2 linked regions of the Medicago truncatula genome follow. The main gene of each other region encodes a partner of the protein of the gene in region 2 in a complex. Links are inferred from orthologs where the notes say so. Each region holds a gene or a part of one and is shown on either strand. Other genes may lie near its edges.

The links.
Region 1: RNA-binding protein Y14A (region 2) and protein mago nashi homolog share a complex: the UniProt entries of both Arabidopsis thaliana proteins name them as parts of the mRNA splicing-dependent exon junction complex. The link is inferred for Medicago truncatula from reciprocal best matches to the Arabidopsis thaliana genes Y14 and MAGO.

What each region holds. Positions count from the first base shown.
Region 1 is NC_053044.1:58,689,130-58,699,811, forward strand, and holds protein mago nashi homolog, read left to right. Parts: upstream 1-7,140; 5' UTR 7,141-7,301; coding exon 7,302-7,520; intron 7,521-7,618; coding exon 7,619-7,795; intron 7,796-8,323; coding exon 8,324-8,383; 3' UTR 8,384-8,647; downstream 8,648-10,682. Other genes in the region: uncharacterized protein, read right to left, coding at 1-10; uncharacterized protein, read left to right, coding at 2,310-2,427, 3,107-3,295, 3,916-3,963, 4,700-4,761, 4,886-4,990. UniProt on the Arabidopsis thaliana protein: Core component of the splicing-dependent multiprotein exon junction complex (EJC) deposited at splice junctions on mRNAs.
Region 2 is NC_053046.1:1,983,650-1,995,523, reverse strand, and holds RNA-binding protein Y14A, read right to left. Parts: upstream 4,968-11,874; 5' UTR 4,869-4,967; coding exon 4,613-4,868; intron 4,521-4,612; coding exon 4,384-4,520; intron 2,131-4,383; coding exon 1,985-2,130; intron 974-1,984; coding exon 931-973; 3' UTR 550-930; downstream 1-549. UniProt on the Arabidopsis thaliana protein: Core component of the splicing-dependent multiprotein exon junction complex (EJC) deposited at splice junctions on mRNAs.

The sequences.
Region 1 (10,682 bases), on a different chromosome or scaffold from region 2:
TTTCCTCCATCGCATCGCATCGCAGCTTCCACTTCCCACACTTCTATTCATTCATTCCCCCAATTTTATTTTGTTTTACTTTTTCCGCAATAACTGTTTTTTTCTTCTTTCTTTTTTCTAGTAGGATAATAGTTAAAAATTAACTACATAAAGGTGAATAAGTGATTGTTGGGGACATAAATGTTTAGTAAAATTAGTCCTTCTCCATTGGAGGGTCTTAACTATTTAAGGTCTGGTATTTATTAGAAGAAATTTTTTTCTAAGGTCTTATAAGACCCGAGTTCCTACTTAAGACCTCCATTTTTAAGCGGAATTCGCACACTTTTAATATTAAAAAATTGAAATATAATGATATAAAGTTATTGATAGTTGATATAGAGTGATTGAGTGTTTATTATGTACTATTATTAAAAAATTATAAATGAGTATTGTTTACATGCGAGATGCATTTAAGAACTCAAAAATGGATATCTCAATTGTGGATGCTATAAGTAGCTCATAAGTATACAATGACATGTTTCTCTATATACTTTTTTAAAATTTTATATATATATAAACATTTTTTTGCTGATGTATTTATTTTTATTAATATTTTAATTTATGGTTTTTTTTTAGGGAATTTTAGTTTATGGTTAAATATATATTTGATTCTTATAAATATTTTAACTTTTGATTTTAATCCCCCGTAAACTTTTTTCCACTTTTAATCCTCAAAAAAGTTCCCACCCCTGCTTTTATGGATCCTAACATTAAGAGCAAGGTGGTCAAAAAATGTGACTAAGAATATATAAAATGTTACAATTTTTCTTTTAAGTAATAAAATGTTAGAACTTAGAATAGGCTAGTTATAACTTATAACAAAATATAAAGCATTTTTATATATATATATTAGTTTGTTAACTTAAACCAACAAAAGCAAGCGTACACATATTTATTTAGACAAAAATATATATCTACTATTATTATAAATCATTATTTTATAAATTGGTGCAACTTAACAAATATTTTATAATAAAAATTACTAAAGTAACCTTCAAATTATTTGTGTTAAATAATAAAAATGAATGGTATTTTTGTCTAAATGAAGATGTGCACACTTGCTAATTGACTGGTGCTAGTCACACCCCAAAAAAACAAGTTACACCTCAGAATGACTAATATACCTTTTAACTAAAATAAAAATTTCAAATTAACTAAATTTACATTAATGTAAATTGAACATAAGTAAACTTAATTTACATTAACCTAAATTGAACATAAGTAAACTTAATTTACATTATCCTAAATTGAACGTAAGTAAACTTAATTTACATTAACCTAGATTTAACATAAGTAACCTGAATTTACATTAACATAGATTGAACATAAGTAAACTGAATTTACATTAACCTAGATTGAACGTAAGTAAACTGAATTTACACTAACCTAAATTGAACATACGTAAACTTGAATTTACATTAACCCCTAACCCCTTTTATATACATACACGTAAACTTAATTTACACTAACCTCTCACTTAAAATCAAATTGACAGGCATATCTCATACCAAAACAAACAATAAACAAATAGAAACTCATTGAAAATGAAATTCATGAAATTCACTAACCTTTATGAATATAGTACAGATCAATAACAAAGATGTTGATTCAGATATTGGTTGCACATCTATGGTGATTTGTGGATGAAAGGGGGTAAGAGTTCATAATGATCATAAAAGATGAGTTTTTAAAAATTTACATGAAGAGGGCAATTTTGATATTATTGTAAAATTTTAAATAAATTTGGATGTAACTTGTTTTTTTTGGGGTGTGACTAGCACCAATCTTACTAATTTGGACCTTCATATTTTTTGTTGATCTAAGTTTGCAAACCCCATTATATATATATATATATATAAAGTGTTCCTTAAAAATATGCAGCGTGGCAGTTTTCTTATTTAAGGGAAAAAAATGTGACAGTTATTAAATATGAACATGGTAATTGTTTTATTAAAAAAAATAAAAATTAATATGGTTAAAATTGGAAGAAAATATAAAAATGTATAAGCTATAAACTAAAAAATTGTTTGAAATAGCATATCAAAAAACGCTACAAGGTAATGCAAGAAATTTTTTGTGTTACCAATATGAGGTTTGAACCCCATCCATCCAGATATGAGGTGAATTATGTACGATAAAATATTATTATTATTAAATTTAAAGTATAATAGTGAATTATTTATGGTCAAAGGAAAGGAACGATGCGTTCTCTTTCTGCTGGGTTGTATCTATCTCTCTAAGAAAGGAAGAAGAGACTGAGAGTCAGAGGGATGATGCTAGAAAACCCTCAAGCTCAGCCACCGGAATCTGGTCCTGTGGTGGTGAAGCGCTATGCTCCACCCAATCAAAGGAACCGTTCTATCAATAATAGGCGCAAATCTTCATCTGGTTAGTTAACTTATTCTTTACTAGGTAGTTGTAGCAGTAGCATCACATCAAGCAATGTCAAACATATTTTATCTATTAAGTTGAGCTACTTACTACTGTAAATACTATTCCCTTATTTGCTTTTTAGTTCAATCAATGTATCATCCTAAATAATGGAACGGATCTGGGACTGTGAATCACGAATGTTCTTTTTAGAATAGCGAGGCACATAATATTGTTACCTATGCACAGAGTTCTATCAGTTTATGTAACTTGAAGAAAAGGTGTTATTGAACTATTAGTTTGTATTGTTGGAAGATAAGAAAGTTGCTTATATATAGGATTCATTTCTGTAACATTGAATCAGTGGGTGTCCTTCTGGCATGGTCTGATGGGAGATAAATTAAAAGAAATTTCTTATGAAGATAATTGTTTAATACAATTAGCCATCAGATCTATGTAAAAGTTCTTGAAGTCGCAAATTAAGTCTTGTAGCTCTTGATGCAAGTGGATTTCTTCCTCCTTTTTTTTTTTTTTTTTTTTTTTTTTTTTTTTTTTTTTGTAATTTATGTGTTATTTCTCATTTGCATAATTGACAGTGATCAATGGTAAAGCTTTTGGCCCATTTGCTGTCAGTTCCTGCTCTATTTTGTTTGTTTCTAATTTGTACATGTCGTTTGCTTTCTATCAAATTATGTAGATCGGCTTGATCGATCAAACAGTGTTGGCAGTGATATAGAAAAGAATCAAGTTGCTTCTTCAAAAAACATTCAAGTTACAGATCACGGACATGCTAGCAGCAGTAATATTTTTAATGAGAACCATTATTCAAGATTCATTGCTTTACAAGGTTGTAGTAGCAGTGCAGCTTCCCAGCTTCTTAGTGATCGTGAGTCTTCCCTGCCTTTTGTTTGTGAGAACTTGTATATGTTGGCTTATTAAATTAAATTGAATATTCTTTTGCCCTGATGATTTCTGTAGTTCTTTAGGTTTTCTCATTAGAACAGACTCTAATAAGTATCTGATCAATGAAAAATACCTTCAATTAGTTTGCATAGGATTGAGATATGCAGATTTTAGGACTTCGGAATATATTGATCATGATTGTTTGTTATGGCTTGTCTGTGGAAAAGGAATGCCCAAGGCCAGCTTTTAGTTTTATTTAACATGATATGTGCTCCTTCATTTTCTATAAATTCCCAAAGTACTTGTTTGTGTCGTGTTGAGCAAGATTCCTTGAGAGATGATAGCTAATTCTCAAGTCCAAAAAGAAATATCAACATTATTGTGAATTATTTTGTTTATAAATTGTAATAGACATATGTCTTGCTTTTACATGTTTGCATACCTTTTGTTTCATTAATTGTTCCTGTCTTCTCGTATTTTAACTGCTTATTGCATTATAGTGAGGAGGGGGGGACTTGTTCGTTTTCTCTTATCTGCTTGTTATGTCAAATTGTCGATACCATTGATTAACATTACCTGTTGCCCATGGACTTCTGTTTCCAGGTTGGACAGCTGTAATACAGTCCTACAACAATCCCAAAGATTCATCTGGTTAGTGGACAATCATTAGAATGACTACCTTTTCCATGCTATGAAATTTGTCACTGTGTCTAATATTTAGTGTTGATGGAACTTTGATTTGTTTTGCTTGTTTCAAAAGTTTTCAATCCATTGAGTTGAGGTCACCAGTAAAACTATGAAATGATTCAAGCTAACCACTGTTGCAGTAACTAACCTTTTGTTTTTTGTGTGTTTGGCTGCCAGTTCTTTCTTTAATTGACTAATTACTATAAGCTTGGTAACTTGATATGTTCAAAAGTGATATATCACGTGATTGCGATACTTAGGACTTACGGGAGTTTGGTGACTACTATACCAACTAAAATATGTTGTTCCTTATACAGTTCATTAGTGTTTGAGAATTCATCTCAATCAAATGCAGTATCAGTAATTTAGCATTTTATATGTGATTTACAATTACATTTAGTCCAACGTGTTTTGATGTAGTTCAAGCTGAGAGGACTTATTACTAAGTGACGAATATCATATAATTACTCTTTAATCATCTTTGTGGTGTTGACTCTTTATAGTTTCTAAATTGCTGTTGGGATGTCAAGTTTAACCATTTTTGACATTTGTGAGCGTATATTATTTATACGGAACATTGATATCATGAATAGCCACCTTCTTAAATGCGGTGATAGTAGATTATGTGTTGCATATACTCTTAGGCATGTGCACGATTTATGCTTAATAATTTTCTTTACCTACCTCTTTCGAATTTCAGAAAAACCAGTTATGTATTCTGGTGGGACCTCAGTTTGGACTCAGTTCAGACTCCCTCATCAGGCAAGCTTTATTTATTAATCTTCTCATAAAACAAAAAGTAAAAAAAACTTTATATCAATTCTCCTTCCCCTCCCTTCTGCCTTCTAAATCTAACGTGATCTTTTTAATATCTATTTTCCCTCAGATTATGTCACCAGCTGCGAGTGCGTCCTCTTCTGTGTCACAGCTTGACTTTCTGGGAGAACTTCGTCGCCAAATGCACAGTGCCAATCCTAGTTTCAGCACATGATGGATGGCATGGATTTAAGGTCTTTTTTGTTTGTGATTTTATAATCAAGTTCTTGTCACAGCTGAATGCTGTAAGAACCCTTTACTTGACTACCCATTTGTGATTTTGTAACTTCGGCACGTCAACTCACTACGTATATACAAGACAGAATCAGAATATGTGTGACGCCTGTGTAGGTGTAAATTGCAATATCTTACATTAGGACTTATATTTAAGGATTTATTACGCTATATGCTTACTGAATACTAGTACCAGTTTTGATAATTTAAATGCATGGTGACATTTTTGTTGTAAAAAAACGAAGAAACTGAAGAATTATGATAGAACCTACATGAACCAACTATTTTGTCCTTATTTTCAGCCTTTTTCTTTTTAGATAATTGATTGCCTTAGCTTAATTTTTTTTACTCAAACCAAGTTAACCAATTTCATTATGCAAAGAGTGTAGGATATAATTAGGAGGATAATGAAAATCACTGCGAGGAGCATACTAGGTGCCCTTACAATAGAACCATATTCTTATCTTATGATTTTACTACGAGACACATCAACAACAAGCTGCTTACAATCAAGTTCAAAAATGATATTTTGAAGACCATAAACTATGATCCAATGGAGGGCATTAAGCAAACCACAAGCTTCACATTTCCACTATTTGGAGATTCATACGCCACCAATCCATCCTTGCCATAACAAACTGACCTTGATCATCTTTCACACACATTCCAATACCTGGACATTGTTGTTGTTGAAAAGGGGCACCATCGATATTGCATTTTAATACAACATGTTGCCAAGAGTTGAGGAAATCTCGAGCACGAAAAAATACATTCTCCTAGGGCTCATTTTTGTTGTCTGGAAGCTTTACATTTTGGTTTTGTCAAATACTCCATGAAATCATGGTAACCCTGGAGATTTGAGACTCATTAAATCGGTGCAGTACATACAAAACAGGGTTAGTAAAGTCCTCAACCGTATGCATAGCATAAGTGGTTGTACCATCAACCATAAACCGGTTTTTTGCTAATACTGGATGCTATCTTCATATTCTAGAAACAAATGCCAGAGACTCCAAATCGTGATCGCATCATATATAAGTTGAAGGGTATTGCACACCATTGTTCATCTTGTGTTGAGTGGGGAGAATATTGTTCCCAAGTTTCCACATAAATGTTTTGATCTTAGGAAGGATAGGTAAATCCCAACGCTTAAGCCAATCTCCGGGTATTTTGAGCTCGTCATTATTCATCAACCTTTCATCTCAAACGTTGCAAGCACTTTTAATAATATATTTGCATCTATTATCAAATCTCCAAATAATCTCATCTACGCGATTGAGCCTTGATACAGGAATTTTTAGAATCTTTTCAACATCATGGGATTGAATAGATTCTTAGTAATAGTGTCTTGATGCCATGTACCTGTATCACAATCAATCAACTAACTCACTGCATGATTATGAGAAATGAGAGGACCATGTCTAATTTCTTGGTTGATCAACGTAATGAAGCCAAGAATCAATCAAATAATTAATGGAGGACCCATCAATTTTCCAACAATGTCCTTCATTTAGCACCGTTCAAGAAGTCCCAGATGCTAACATCAACAATATTTGGACAGCTAGTCATAGTCTCTTAATAAGAGAGAATAGAAAAAAGGAAAAAGAATAGAAAAAAAGAAGAGGAAAGAAAAAAAAATGAGAGAGCAAGGAAAACAGAAAGACACATTAGTATAATATTTTTCTTTCAAATTTTATTATTATTTTATTAATTATTTAACTTATAATTTTTTTACTAATTGCCTAAATTTTGTAACTTATGTTTCTTTAACAAGTTACCAAGGTATCTGAAAGAGAAGCCTTTTTTTGAGGTATTTGGAAGAGAAATTTGAGTAACATTTTTACAGATAATCTGACTATATCTTAATTTGGAAAGTTATATTGCTTAGTTCTAGCCAGCTTATAACACAAAATTGTTTTACTAATCATGCAAACCAGTGCCAAACAAATTTATATAGTGAATGATGTTTAAGAGAAATTAATAAAAATAAATTGTGATTTAAAATGGTATTTAGATTAGTTTGGGAATGTATTTTTTAAGTAAGAAACAAAGAATATATGAAAATGATAATGAAAATAAAAAATTTGTGGAAGAGTGTGGGCTACAAAAGAAGCGGGCCTGGTGGAAAAGGCCCAACTCGAAGAAGAAGAAGAAGAAGAAGAACACTCGAACTCGCACTTATATTCTTCAACTCTGCTGGTTGCTGGTTGAAAATCAATCGGCGGTTATTGTTGATAATCAACATCATCAGGATGGGAAGCGAAGAAGAGAATGCAGAGTTCTACTTGAGATACTACGTTGGTCATAAGGGTAAATTCGGACATGAATTTTTGGAGTTTGAGTTCCGTCCAGATGGTAAGCTTCGTTATGCTAACAATTCCAATTACAAAAACGATACAATCATTCGTAAGGAGGTTTATCTTACTCCTGCTGTTCTTCGTGAGTGTCGTCGTATCATTTCTGACAGCGAGGTATTCTTTTCTATTCTTTTTACTAACCCTAACCCTAATTTCACCCCCTTTTCCTTTTCCTTTTCCCTTTTATTGCTTATAACAACTCTATTCAACAGATTATGAAGGAAGATGATAACAACTGGCCAGAACCAGACCGTGTTGGTCGTCAGGAACTTGAGATTGTGATGGGGAATGAGCATATCTCCTTTACTACTTCCAAGATTGGTTCTCTTGTTGATGTTCAAAGCAGTGCTGATCCTGAAGGCCTTCGCATCTTTTACTATCTTGTTCAGGTCAGTCAGATTCATTCTATTTACTCACTCATTGTTGTTACAAGGATCATTTCACCTACAATTTCAGATTCTTCCCTTCAAATTTAAGCATACCAATACTGCTCAAACACTATGCACAAATAATTGCCTTCATGAACACAACTCAAATTAAACTGACCTGGCAACTCTCAGATATCTTATACCTCATACAATGGGATTTCAATTGTTTCATTGTTTTCATTGTTTTAACCTATACTTCAGAATTCCTTTGCTGTGATTTTTTCACTTTATTTGTGCAATGTTTTAGAGACTGATTTATGTATTTCCCCATGATGTGTTATCATTGTATTTTTTAGCCTTTTTTTATCACGGTTCCTTTGCTGTGATTTTTTCCTCTTTATTGCCCCATGATTTTTTTACTGTATTTCTGCATTGTTTTAGAGAGTGATTTATATAGTTGTGCCTGTCCATTAGTCACCCAATACCAGATTTGTTTGATGTCAGCTTATGCCTTTCGTTCATTCCTGCTAATTATAATTATCTTTGCAGGATTTGAAGTGCTTTGTCTTCTCTCTTATTTCACTTCACTTCAAGATCAAGCCTATATAAGATGTTCCCAATTATTTTTCGAGTTTGTCTTCTTGGAAATGTGCACTCTTTGAACAACTTTCCTTTTTAGCTAATGAAGTTTGAAACATGTATCGGTGATGAACAGAAAAACCTGATTTGAATGGATAACCTTTGTACCAGATCTTTGCTTTTTATATTTATGGTTTTGGATATTCTTTCTCTTTCTCTTTCACTTGCTTCCATTGTTTGAGCATGCTGTCTGTATGGAATGTGCACATACCGAATTTAAGATTTCTTTGACTACTGGTTATGTTCTCAGAAAGTAGTGTTGTATGATATTTTTTTTATTTCACAGTTTCTACTCCCTAATATTAACCTGGTTCCAGCACATGATTGATGACATGGATTTTATAATCAAGCTGTTGTCTGGTTATGTTTTTAAAATCAAGTTCTTGTCACGATTGAATGCTTTAAGAACACTTAACTACCTACTTGTGAAATGTTTAGCTGCGTATAGTATATACAACACAGAATCAGAATATGTGCGATGCCTGTGTAGGTGTAAATTGGGATGTCTTACATCTAGGACTCATGTTTTAAGGATTTATTATTATACTCCGTATGCCGCTTGCCGTGTACTAGTTTTCATAATTTAAAGGCATTGTGGATTTTTATCTGTTTTATAATTTGGAAACTATAAAATTATGATGCAACTCACATGAACAACCTATTTTGTGCTTATTCTCAGTCTGGTTTTCTTCTAATTTTTACGTAAATGATTAACTGCCTTTATTTTTAGTTTTTTAAACTAGTAAGATGGTTTTTTAGAAAATAAGTGGCAAAATCTGGTTATGTTTTGTTTCTCGCTGTTGCATGTCAGCTTAGCATGCGTTTGGAATCACGATGGATATGTCAAAAGCTACAAACATACACTTCTATGTGTATTCTTGCCGCATCATTTTCTCTTTCCTAAATGGTTCCCCCAAAAATTAAAGACACATTTCAAAGGAGGTGTGTGTTCACATGGGAAAGGTTAATCCTTTCCCACCATGGGAAAATTGGATTTAATGATTAGATTAAGTGAAGAACATATTCTTAACATGCTCTCTCAACACTAGATTTTTCTTCACACTATCTTCCAATAATTTAAAAATTCTGAAAATTAATTTTTAGAAATTAAAAAAATCGAAAAAATATAAAAAAATTAAGATAATTTTTTTTTAAATTCTGTAATTCATTTGTTGAATGTTAGAATTTTTTTTTGAAAAATAAAATTTTGGAAACTAAGATAAGTTTTTATTTTTCTAAAAAGAATATTTTTTTAATTTCATAATAAAATAAGATATTCTGAAAAATAAAATAAAAATCCTAAAAAAAATATTTTGAAATTAAAGTTTTTTATTTTTCTAAGAAAATAAAATTCTGGAAAATTTAGAACAATTTTTTTTTTCATTTTTAAAAAAAAAAAATTAACATTCAATAAATGAATTGTAGAATTTTTAAAAAAAATTATCTGTATTTTTTTAATTTCTGAAAATTAATTTTCAGAATTTTTAAATTGTTGGAAGAAAAATCTAGTGTCGAGGGAGCATGTTAAGAATATGTTCTTCACTTAATCTAATCATTAAATCCAACTTTCCCATGGTGGGAAAGGATTAAACTTCCCATGTGAAATGCCACCTTCAAAGGATAGTGTGAGTGACCTAATAATCATTTATCGAAAAACCAATTGTCGGGATCATAATAATTTTAGAAGAGTGTTATTTGAATAACCATTTGGTTGACAACTTATGAGACAACTGTAATTTACAAAGAAAAAGTTGGTATTTGCAGGTATTCTAAAGTAATGAGTAACTTTTTCTGTGACAACTTCTATATATATATTTTTTATATACAAGTATATTACTGTAATTGTTTGAGATGTACCAAAATCAATAAATATTATTAATGATAATTTATGGTTTTTGTCAAAAATAAAATAAAATAACAGGTTTGAGGTTTCCTCGGCAGTTTTCTCGGTAATTAACTGCAGCCGGTTCCATAATTCGGCAGTTAACTGTCAATGGACATTTGAATAAATTACTCGTGTTTCTCAACCAATGCATATATGTCAACAACAATTCTCTTAACATTTAGCATGGAAAGCATAAATTTTCCTACCATGGATTAGTTGAGTTTTAGCTATTTGATCCTAGGAAAAACAAAACCAAAAAAAAAAAACAAAACACCAGGAAAGTGAATTCTCTCATTAAGCATGTCATTTGCTCGTAGGAGATAAGAGTAATGCTAACAACACTCTTTTTTAAACATTCTCTCTAATACTCACATAAAGTGGTGG
Region 2 (11,874 bases):
TTTAAACCTTTATGACAAAAAACTGTGGCATCATTTGCTCTTGTCACGAGGCTGAACAAGGAAAAAAAAAAACAATTCATTGTTCAGGGAATCAGGGTGTTGAAAACTGAAATGGAATCGTCCCAATGCACGTCATCTTTAATCCTACAGTTTGCTAAGATTTTGAACCAAACTTCACTTTTCTTTTATGGTTGAGCAAACCTTTACGAGAGATCTAGCATAAAGTAAACTTTCTAATTCTAAACATGCTCAAATTAAGCCAAACCACTCAAATCGGTTAATAGATTGAGTGTGTCAATCGAACTCTCTAGAATTGAATGGTCGAACAGATTAACCCATTAAAGCATACTCGTTCTACCACCCTTAGATTTAGGCTTTACAAGCTTGGTAATAGAGCAGACGACAACAAACCTCTTCAAAGGCAGTACCTACCTTAGGTCATTACTACAAATATGACCCCCCTTGACACGAAATCTATGTCACGTAAATGCATGGAGAAGTAACTTTACTATGTAAATACAACACAATACATGGTGGCAAAGAAAAAGATGGGAGGAATAAAATGCCTCTATTGAGAGAAAAAGAAACACGCTAGTGTTGTTCACTCATTCACGCCCATCACATACAAGACGCAATCCAAAAGAGATACTATCTTCTTCAACACAATGTCATTACATAATAAAGAAAAACTAAACCAAACACGTTACTACAGTGCAATACAGATATGTTAAAACACTAAACCATAATAAACTTGAGTTAATAACATTCAACAAATGATGTAAGATAAGATTCCTCAACAACCGATATGTATTTTGTCTGACGGAAGCTGCATAAGTATAGGAAAAAGCATCCACAATTGGACAAACACAAATCACACCGCTCATTTAAGTTCCACACAACTGACATCATGTATAATTAACAAAGACCCTTTCAATATCTCCTCCTAGGAGGACTCCTGGAGCGCCGCTGAGGTCTGCAAAATGTCAAAGTTCCAAACACTCAAATGCTAAACTATGAAAAAATTATAAGGGGAAGAAGGTTAGTAAATAGCATTTAGCATTTGCTTAAACACAACTGCATGTTTGGTAGATTGGTATCATTGTGAGTTTGTCGAAATCACGGTGACATTGTGATTCTAACAAACTCATTGTGAATCCAAACATACAACGAAACGGGGTTGAAAAATGGAATGCAAATTATTTAACGATAGTCTAGGACAATGCACCATATCTTCATTTTTCAATCCATCTGCAAAGAAGAGAATTATATATATATATATATATATATATATATATATATATATATATATATATATATATATAATGCATTTTAATTTCTAATGAAGTAGGATATGTTTTACAAACTTTCAAGAGTGGAGTATGTGTTGGCAAAAATAAATTTTACAGTTGGATACCACACAAGTTATGTAGTTGAATATCTTGTGACCAACATAGAAAACGACGAAGAAAACCAACACAAACATAAACTAAGTGAAGATGTGATGAGAATTGAGTGTTGGACATGTGGAAAGACTAGAAAGGGTAGGATTAGAGATGATAGCATTAGATAGAGTTGGATAGAGCCTATTGTAGAAAAGATGATGAAATCTCGAGTTAGGTAGTTCGGACAAGTGTGGAGGAGACATGTAAATTCCATATTAAGAAAAGTGGATGAGATAAAAGGCAACCAAATTGCGAAAGGCAAAGGAAGGCCAACAAAAACTATTGGCAAAAATTAAAAAAATATTTAGAGGCCAATGACTTGACTATAAACATGGAACTGTGATAACAAATCATAATGTGGTTTGATCCATGTAGCCAACCCCACTTTGTGGAATAAGACTCGGTAGTTGCTGTAATTGGAAATACCAACTCAAATAAATGATGTAAAACTCAAACCAAAAACTTTATGGAACTTTCTTCAAGATTAATGTTGTGAAATAACATACTACTCTGCAGACAAATATAAAACAAAAATAAATTACCTGTTTCTTCTAACTGTCTCGTTAATAGGTCCACTGCTGAAAGCCCAATCAACATAAATGGTTTGTGTGAGAAGCACAGATCCATTCAAATTCTCTATTGCATTCCGAGCTTCCTCGGAGCGCTCATATTCAATCAGTGCATAACCCTAAATTCAAAATGCTTATCAGTATAGAAACCAAAATCTTCACATGATAAAATGGCACATGCAGAAATGAGCAGAAGTTGCCAGGAAAAGGAGAACTAATCTCCAGTTTCTGAAACTGATATTAATCATCAATCAATGATGTATGAACATAGAAACAGATGGCAGAAAATTTTCTTGAACAAGGATCAACCCTGTTTACAAAATTACAAGTAGTCTAAAAAAAGTCTTAGCTTTTCTTAATAAAATAAGATAAGTTGAGATCAAAGCAGCGAAAGTGGCAAACAAGAGTAAAAGCATCATCATAAAAATATAAAACACAAAAGAAACGGCAATAACCTACACAAAGTTACTTGTTAGGAAGGATTATATGTTTCTTCCACTACATCCTTTAAAAATCAATACGGCATTGATTTATACTGATAGAGCAACATCAATTTAAAAAAAAATAAAAAAATACTGCAGGGAGTGCAGTGAGGCCATTTTATAAAATTTATATACATGAGAAACAAATCAACAACCATCTGAACCCCAAAGTAACAGCTTGAGGTCAATAACAAAATGTGTGCAGCAAAGCAGAATTCATGCCATGACTGAGACATGAAATGAAAGTTGAGTCCAACTAACGGTGAAAAGATATGAGATGATAACTTCAGTTAAGGTTGCATCAATCAGGAGTACCCAAGTTCGATCCCATGCTGGAATGGGAGGACCCAAGTTATCCCATGCTGCAACAATCTCCGGCCTCACTTTACTTAACTCTCAACCAAACTCCGCAACATGGTTACCGGTATCACAAAATAAATGAGCTATTTCTCAATTTGATACAAAACAGAACCAATCGATAACTTCAGTTAGTGTGTATCATTATATCTATGTGGGACGAATCCCATCTTGAATCCCAATTCACTAAAACGATTTTCATTTCATTCTAATGGTTCCGTATCAAAATTAGTGATGCTGGCCACTTTTTTCACTCAACAATGTATAGCCCCGCTTGCCATTTGATTCATGACTTGAATTATTTGAAGGTTCATATATTAGCTTATAATTTTGCTATGTCACTTATCTTACTTAAAAATGTCATATTTTTATGGACAGTATATATTACAGTTCATATAAAGATTCAATTCCGAAAATAGATCTTCTGATTCAAAATTTGATAACCATGCTCCGGATTATCAAGGCACCTTTCCTCGGGAAACCAGAAGGTTAACAATAAAAAAGGAGAATCATAAAGATTAAATATTGCCATTAATGGATCACTTTGAGAGTTTGAGAAATATATGGAAAAATGGAGATCTTTCACATTTTTTGGAAGAGTAATTTTTTAGAAAATGATAAACTAATATGTTTTTAATTTTAAGAATATTATAACAACATAGATTTAATGCAATTTTTGAGTTTCCCCAAATGAGGGGGATTTTGTATTATGAAGAAACATGAACCCCCCAAAAGCCTCCCCCTCCCCCTCCCAATGTCTTCTATTTCATCCACTTGCTCCTTCCATTTTTCCCAAAGCCTCTCCCTTCCTTCCATTTGGAAAGGGGAAAAAAAAAAGCAAATAAAGGAATTTGAGAAGGGAAGGCCTTGGGGGTTAATTTTTCTTCGTAATACAAAACCCTCCTGATTTAGGGGAACTCAAAATTGCAATGGAGGAGGGTTTTGAAGGGATTTGGAAAGTTTATACGAATTCTTCAAATTCAATGTATGTAGTTATAATATTCTTAAAATTACAAGTGTATTAATTATAAAACATTAGTTTATCATTCTCTAAAAAGAAAACTCTTTTAAAAACGTGAAAGATTTTCTCTATTTTCCCCTGTGTTTTCCACCCCCAAAGCCCTCTCCTTCCCCCCTCCAAACTCCCAAACAAAGCCTTAGGGCTTGTTTGGGAGAGGTTTTTGGAGGGCTAAGACAATATGTTAAAATATATTTGTTATTTAAAAAAAATTCAAAGAACATGATAAAGGATCATATAATACTTCAATCAAACCTAATTGATTTTAAAAACATCTTATAGTAAACATAATTTAATAGAGAAAAGTAAAGTCTCCCCTCCAAAACCCTCCATAGAAACATACCCTTAGATTAACAACATTACCCCACCATATTCATCTCCTACTTCAAAACACTTTCTATCATCAATTAGTAACAAAAAGGTATCCATAAAACTAGTCAATTTGTATGAATAAGTAAACAATGCACAAGAACAATACAGTGAAGTGAACAGCGAAAAAATCATCAATGACACACCTTAACAAAACCAGTACGGCGATCAAGATTCAAGTGAAGATTCTTAATATCACCATATTCACCAAAAGCATTCTGCAAATCATCATCTTGAGCTTCCTCATGTACACCAGTCACCAAAATAATCCATCCTTCAATAGCTACAAAAACAGCAACATTATTAAGCATAAAAACCCTAAAAATCAAAATCACGCAATTAAATTGAAAAAATTGAACAATTGGGAACACGAACATCGTTGAGGACCAGGACCACCCTCAGCAGTGAGAGTATCGAAACCGGAATCAGCAAGACGAGAGTTACGGTTGGAGGAATCAGAATCCTGACGGAAACCGCGACCTTTGGTTTTTTTGGGAACGGAGGTGATGGCGGATTTGAGTTTGGGATGTGGAGGAGAAGCTTCGGCGTCAACAGCACCTTCTTCGTCCATCAAGTCATCTTCCTCTGGCTCGAAATCCAAAGCTTCTCCGTCGGCGGCGCTTCCTTGCATTGTCGCTGAATAGAGAGGAGTGAGTGTATGAAGGCTGGTTCAACCTAGGGTTCCCAATTCTAATTCGTTTGAATTACAACGAGTAATGAATGTATAATGTATTTTAATTGAAAAATGAGAATATTCTACACTATTTGAAAGAGTTCAAATGGTTTTTTTTGGGTAACAAATCATTCCATTAAATAAGGATCAAAATCACTAATTAATAAAAGAATCAGAGTCACATAATCATTCAATTAAATTAGTTCCGTCTCGTGTCAGTTGGCAAGGACGATGCATAATATGTGCAAGTTTTGAGGTTCGAATCTTGGACACTTACAAAAAAAAAAAAAAAAAAGTATGTCCATCACCTAAGTTAGGGTAGGACAAAATATGGAAAATCGACCCAAAGCCGATTTAATCGTTTGCCTTATTTGACAAAGCGGTTAAGAGAGTCGAGTAAAATAGATTCATTAGATAATGTTGATTGATTTCGGATGGGTCAATGCGGGTTGAAGAAAACGGAACCCGACTAATATGTTACCATTATGTTGTTGGACAAATTATAAGTAGACTATATGTTTAATTTTTGAAGGCTGATACGGAGATTTGAACAAATTACGTCATCTTTATAGAGTATACATAACATTTTCTTTCTTCTCATGCATCATATAAGAAAATTGAAATAGTATATCAACTCAGTAGACATGACACCGACAAACTCAAACAACATAAGACAATACTATTTGGTTTAATAAATATAATTCATCACAAGTACAATAGAAGAATTATTAAACAACTTAATGGAATTCGTATGAGCCTATAAAATGTACTTGACATTATCGGAATCAACGGTTAATCTATAATTATACACAGACTTGTCTTCAACTATAATTATATCCCGATAGACTACTTATACTTGTGACATTAATTATAAATATGCATGATAGTAGTTGCACTTCAACCATTTTTATTCTAAAAAGTGGTCAGAATATGTCTTGGAAGGATCATCTAGGTTGTCAGCCTACGAACAAGCATATTCTCTTTTGGTCTTAGACGGTCAACATATTTACAATCTTGAGAGATTTGAATAATCTCATGATTGTCTTCTCATTCTCCACTCTAAGGCTCCATACACCAACAACAAATAACCTCTCCACCTAAACGATCAATCACATTTCAATGAAGCTGATATTTTACACTTCTTTCACATCTCAATATGACAAATTATTTTCTGTCATTTCCTCCATTGTCGGATTTCCCGAACAGTAAATTCTAACTTCCTTGCTTTATTCTGGTGAAGTAAACTTTCTTTTAGTATTACACTTGTTTGGGGTGATCAATACAAGGCGCAACTAAAGGTACAAACTTGATTGATGGAAAGTGGTGGTTTGCCTCTTAACCTTCACGGGGCCAACATAAAACCATTGTTTGTTGTCGTAGGGGTCGTCGAAGGACCACCACCGACGACCACCTTTTATACATATTAAAATAAAGTTGGTTTGGTTAATTGGTCCTAGAATTTTTTTGAATTCTGCTCATTATCTAAACAGCATTGCTCATTTCCAAAGTAAATGTCCAAAATGCCCATGCGCATGTTAACATGCGTAGCGTGACTTAAGTTGCGCTAGTTATAAGAGGAACGCAACTTAAGTCACGCAGCGTGAGTTAAGTTGCGTTAGTGTATTTTTTTAACCTAAGTTAAGTCACGTAGCGTGACTTAAGTTGCGCTAGTGTATTCTGAGCGTGAGTTAACTCGCGCCGGTTGGTCGGTGCAGAACTGAAGAACAAACATTATTTATTTTATTCTAAATTAGTTTATTTACTTTATTCTAAATTATTTATGCACTTAAAATAAATATTGATTCGATATTATTCATTAAATAAATACAAATATAGATAAAAGTAAATGAACTAAATTAATATTTATTCATTAAATACAAAATTAGAAAATAAAAGCAAATATAAAATAAAAAGGAATGAACAAAATTGAGGCATATAACAATATCTCATTTTATTAATAGAATTCATACAATACAATAATTTATTCCAATTCACTAATTTATTCTACTTATTTTCTCCCTTTTGGGGTAAAATAGGGAGCAACCTTCTTGGAGAAAATACATGATCAACCCTTGGGCTAAATTTAAATCTGGTTTTTTTTATACCCACGGTAAAAAGTTTATGGAGTAAAAAAAGCAAATTTAAACTTATCCCAATGGTCGATCACTTCCCCATGTCGGCTTCTCACTATTTTACCCCGACGAAGATTGATCACTTTTGCCCTCAAAGAGAATACTGAAAAAGAAAGAAAGAAGAGAAATAGAGGGAGAGAGTGAGGAGGGGGGAGAAAGTGATATGGTGTGAGAAATTAGGGAAGTATGGAGGGGTATTTATAGGTGGGAATGGTAGTATAGGTTGTAAACACCATTAATGTGGTCAAAAAACGTGTAAAATAGTGTTAAAAACGTGTGGATAGAATGTTGAAAAACTGACCACAGACCAAAAAACTTTTGTTCTTCGGTTCTGCACCGGCCAACTGGCGCAAGTTAACTCACGCTCAGAATACACTAGCGCAACTTAAGTCACACTACGTGACTTAACTTAGACAACAAAATACACTAGCGCATGTTAAGTCACATAATGCGACTTAACATAGGTAAAAAATACACTAGCGCATGTTAACATGCGCAAGAGCATTTTGGACATTTACTTTGGGAATGAGCGATACTATCTGGGTAATGAGCATAATTCAATTTTATTTTTTTTGCAATAAGCCTAGTAAAAAATTGGTTTTGGGCTGATATATTGTTTTTGAAAAAAAAAAAAAAAAGTTTTTGGGCTGAATACATAAAAAAAAATGAATTTCTTTTTCCACCCTCTAAAACTTTTTCAGTTATTAAATCCGAGTGTTGGAGGGTGTTTTTAACGTGTTCTAGCGCTTTTTTGAGTATGTAATCCAAACTTCTTAAGACGCACGAGAAACCGGTAGGGTGCGAAAAGAAACCGTCTAAATAAAATGTTTTGGAAATATTTTAAAAAATTCTGCAATTTTTTTAAGGAGAAAACTTAGGTACAATTCCTTAATATGCTTTCATAGATGAATCCAATGAATACACATCCATTTAAAATATAATAATGGATAAATTTGATGGTTTTATGTTTAATGGATGAATTAGATTAGATATTTTTTTTTAAATAGTATTGTTAATGGATCCTTTTTATCCATCCAAATTTAAAGTCATCCATTTTACCACCTTAGGCTAGACCAAAACTCTTTTTTAGGCATTAATATTTGTTTTCTGAAAAGATTTCAATAGTTTGTTTACATGTTCTCTAAAAAAAAGTTTTTTTAACAAAACAAAAATAGTTTACTTGTTAGAAATATGAATTTGACCCATGTCAACTGCTTGGTGTGTTTTAGGTTGGATTGGACCACCAAAATTGAGGCTAAATGAAAGCCATGGACTGATCCAATATGGGTCGTTTTTCATGTCTTAGGTTTACTAATTGAAAATTGCTTTTTTGACATATAATACTTCATATTGACACAAGTAATTTACCAAAAAGCTTCCGGCGACAGTTAACAACCGTTAGGCCATGCGCAGACAGTTAACTGCCGCTGGCATTTAGTGGTTGTTAACTGTCGTTGCTTTCTGTTATATGAACAGAACAGCGTAGGAGTTTCCAAAACTCCATTGTTACGTTTTTGGATTTCTCAGGTGCGTTTTTCAGCAAACATCGGCCATTCCAAGCTAATTTCAAGCACAAAATCAAGTAAATTTTTTGAATCCTATGGCATTGCTATTTTGTGATTGATTTGTTAGTTTTTTTTGGTTAATTGTGATTATATAGGTTTATTGATTTTATGATATTATGATAGTTTGGGTTGTTTGAATTGTTAGGTTTATGTTAAAATTGTTTAGATTGTTAGAATTGTTATGAAATTATGGTAGAATTTTTAGGATTAGATGAATTGTTGTTGTATAATCGTTGCGATTAGTTTAGGTTTGTTATGAAATTTTGTTGTTGAATTTGTAATAGAATTGTTACGATTAGTTACGGTATAATTTTTAGGATTAGTTTAGGTTATGATCAATTATTGTATAATTGTTACGACATGATGTAGGTTTTGATCGCCGATTTATTTATGTAGATATGTCTAAGAATTAGGGAAACGTTGAGGTGAACAAGAAGAAGGAGGGTGACGGCAGGAAGAAAGAAAAATCACTGATGACATGGCATGGAATCACATGTGATGGATCCGTAAAAAATAATGATTCGAAGGTGCTGGTGTATAATCATTCGAGGTTGAGGAGGAGCGGGAGGACATGCTATTTTGGTCCTCAAGCAAAAGCAGGTGCCCCAGGGACTGTCGAGGACAAACCAATTGACTTGTGTGATTAGAAAGATGATTGAATGTAATGGGTTGTAATATCTAATTGATTTGGATCTTTTTTTATGGTACATTTTGCTTGACATATTGGTACTTTGAATAAATTCGCATTTTGAATAATTTCAATTAAAATCGCATTTGGAATAATTTCGATTAAAGTCGCGTTTCGAATAATTGTGTATTCGAATAAAAACTAATTAAATCTAATGTGAATTCAACTAATTAAAATTGCGTAATGAATAAATAAATTCGAAAAGTGAATAAATAAGATAATTATTGTTCCATTCAAAACAAAATGTATTATGCATATTCAACTATATATGTTATCACATTACATTGTATTACATTACATTCCAGAATGTATCTTCCAACTACAACAATTGTCTTACTCTGGATGGGGCAAATTCAAACTTGCTAAACAGCAGGACTCCAACATCCGATCAGCATCTTGAATGATGGTATTTAACTGTCAAAAGAATGAGGTGCATTCCTTGACACTTCAATACCAATATTCAAGAGGCTTATCGAATGTTGGAGTCCTCCCGATTAACAAGTTTGAATTGCCCCATCCAGAGTATGACAATTGTTGTAGTTGGAATGTGCATTCCAACTACAACAATTGTCTTACCTTTGAATGGGGTAAATTCAAACTTGCCAAACAACAGGACTCAAGCATTTTGCACCGCATTCATGTTTTTCCTTTGAAAAGAATAAATTTTTGTTAGGCTTGCTTTAGATGATGATATTCAAGTGCCAACGAAATGAGGTTCATTCCTTGGCACTTAATACCTTCATCTAAACCAGCATAACAAGAATTTAATCTTTTCAAAGGAAAAACATGAAAGCTGGGCGAAATGCTTGAGTCATGGCCATTTGGCAAGTTTGAATTACCCCATTTCAGAGGCAAGACAATTGTTGTAGTTGGAATGCACCTTACCATAACTAATGATGATTTTCTGGCGGAATCAAGCTGTTGATGATATCTTCAGTTGATCTCAGCAACGTTACCCGCATATTGATCCACTGGAACATGTTGTGCTCCCAAAACATGCTCGTCACGTTTTCGTCGTTCGTTAATTCCACCGAAGTGAATGATACTCTCCCCTCGTCGAGCGTTGGACGTTTATACCAAACGTGTTCCACCCTCCTTGTGTCTCCGGGGTTGACTCCTTGGTTGAATTCAGTCAGTTCATCCTTGAGACCTCTTAACGTTATACCAAGGCATCAAACCTTCAACCTCTGAGGTTCTCCGCCATTGAATTGTGCATGAACGTCGATCCACCCGACCATTGCTTCAAATCTACACAATAAGAAATTAAAAATAATCAATGAAAAACTCATTCAAACACTTGTAGTGAAAATTTGACATAAACCATAGCAATATAACTTCAATGTAACAGGTATTCATAATATATGTTAATAGCATTTCATAACTACAACATAACTATATTATAAACAAATATTTAAACCCTAAAAAATTTATAAAATTCGGAAAAAAATATAAATTCAAGCAATATAACTTCATTATAACAGATATTCATAATATATGTTAATAGCATTTCAGATCTACAACATAACTATACTAAAAACAAAAATTCAAAATTTAATAATTAAACAACAACTAAAATTATAAACATATAAACACATATACTAACTAAAACGTATGACAATAGCATAAGTGATAACTTACTTGTGATTTAGTGGAAGAAATTTTGGATGATTTGGTAGAGTTTTTTTAGAGAGAGTGAGTGAAATTTTGAGAGAAAGATAGTGAAGGTGATGATGGAGTGAGTGAGTGTCAGAGTTATGGCTACTGACTTGAATATATCACGAACACAACGGCAGTTAACTGCCGCTGAAAATTAAAACGTCATTTACTTGTCAATATGAAGTATTCTTTATCAGAAAAGCATTTTCTTACTAATTTGACAACTCTAACAATGATTCATTGGTGGCATTTAGCATGGGAATGGAGAGTTGTTTCCCACCATGGGAAAGTTTTTTCAACCATTAGATTAAGAATGAGTATTAATTTTATCATGGACTGCCTACACCATATTTTTTCTTTTGTCTTTTACATTTTTTTTGTTCAGATCTGTATTTTTTTTTCTTTCCATGCTTATATACTTAACCATCATTTGGATCATCAACTTGCTTCTTCTGTGATAGAATCCCATCAAAATCCAAACTAGCTTCATCATCATCATTTGGATCATTTTGTTTATTAACACGCAACAATGTTACTACAATCATGTGCAAAACTTCATTAGAAACACATAACTATGTAGTTCAAAACATCACAAACAACAATGAAACAAAGGTTTCAAGTACCACAAAAAGAAGAAGAAGGAGAAGAAATGAAAATGCAGCAATAGAAATTCAACTATCCTTTGAGAATATGAACAAGAATGTTCATGTCCATAAGAATATTGGTGACCCTATTGTATGAGAATATTCCAGATCTTGAGTTTTTTTGCCTTATACGTAATAGAGCAATAGAAAAAACATATAAACATAATGAAATCAATGTTGAAATTGATAGAGCGCAAGAGTATGATCACCGAATTATCAAAGAAAAAAATTTCAGATCTAAACAAAAAAAAGTGTAAAAGATAAAGGAAAAAATATGGT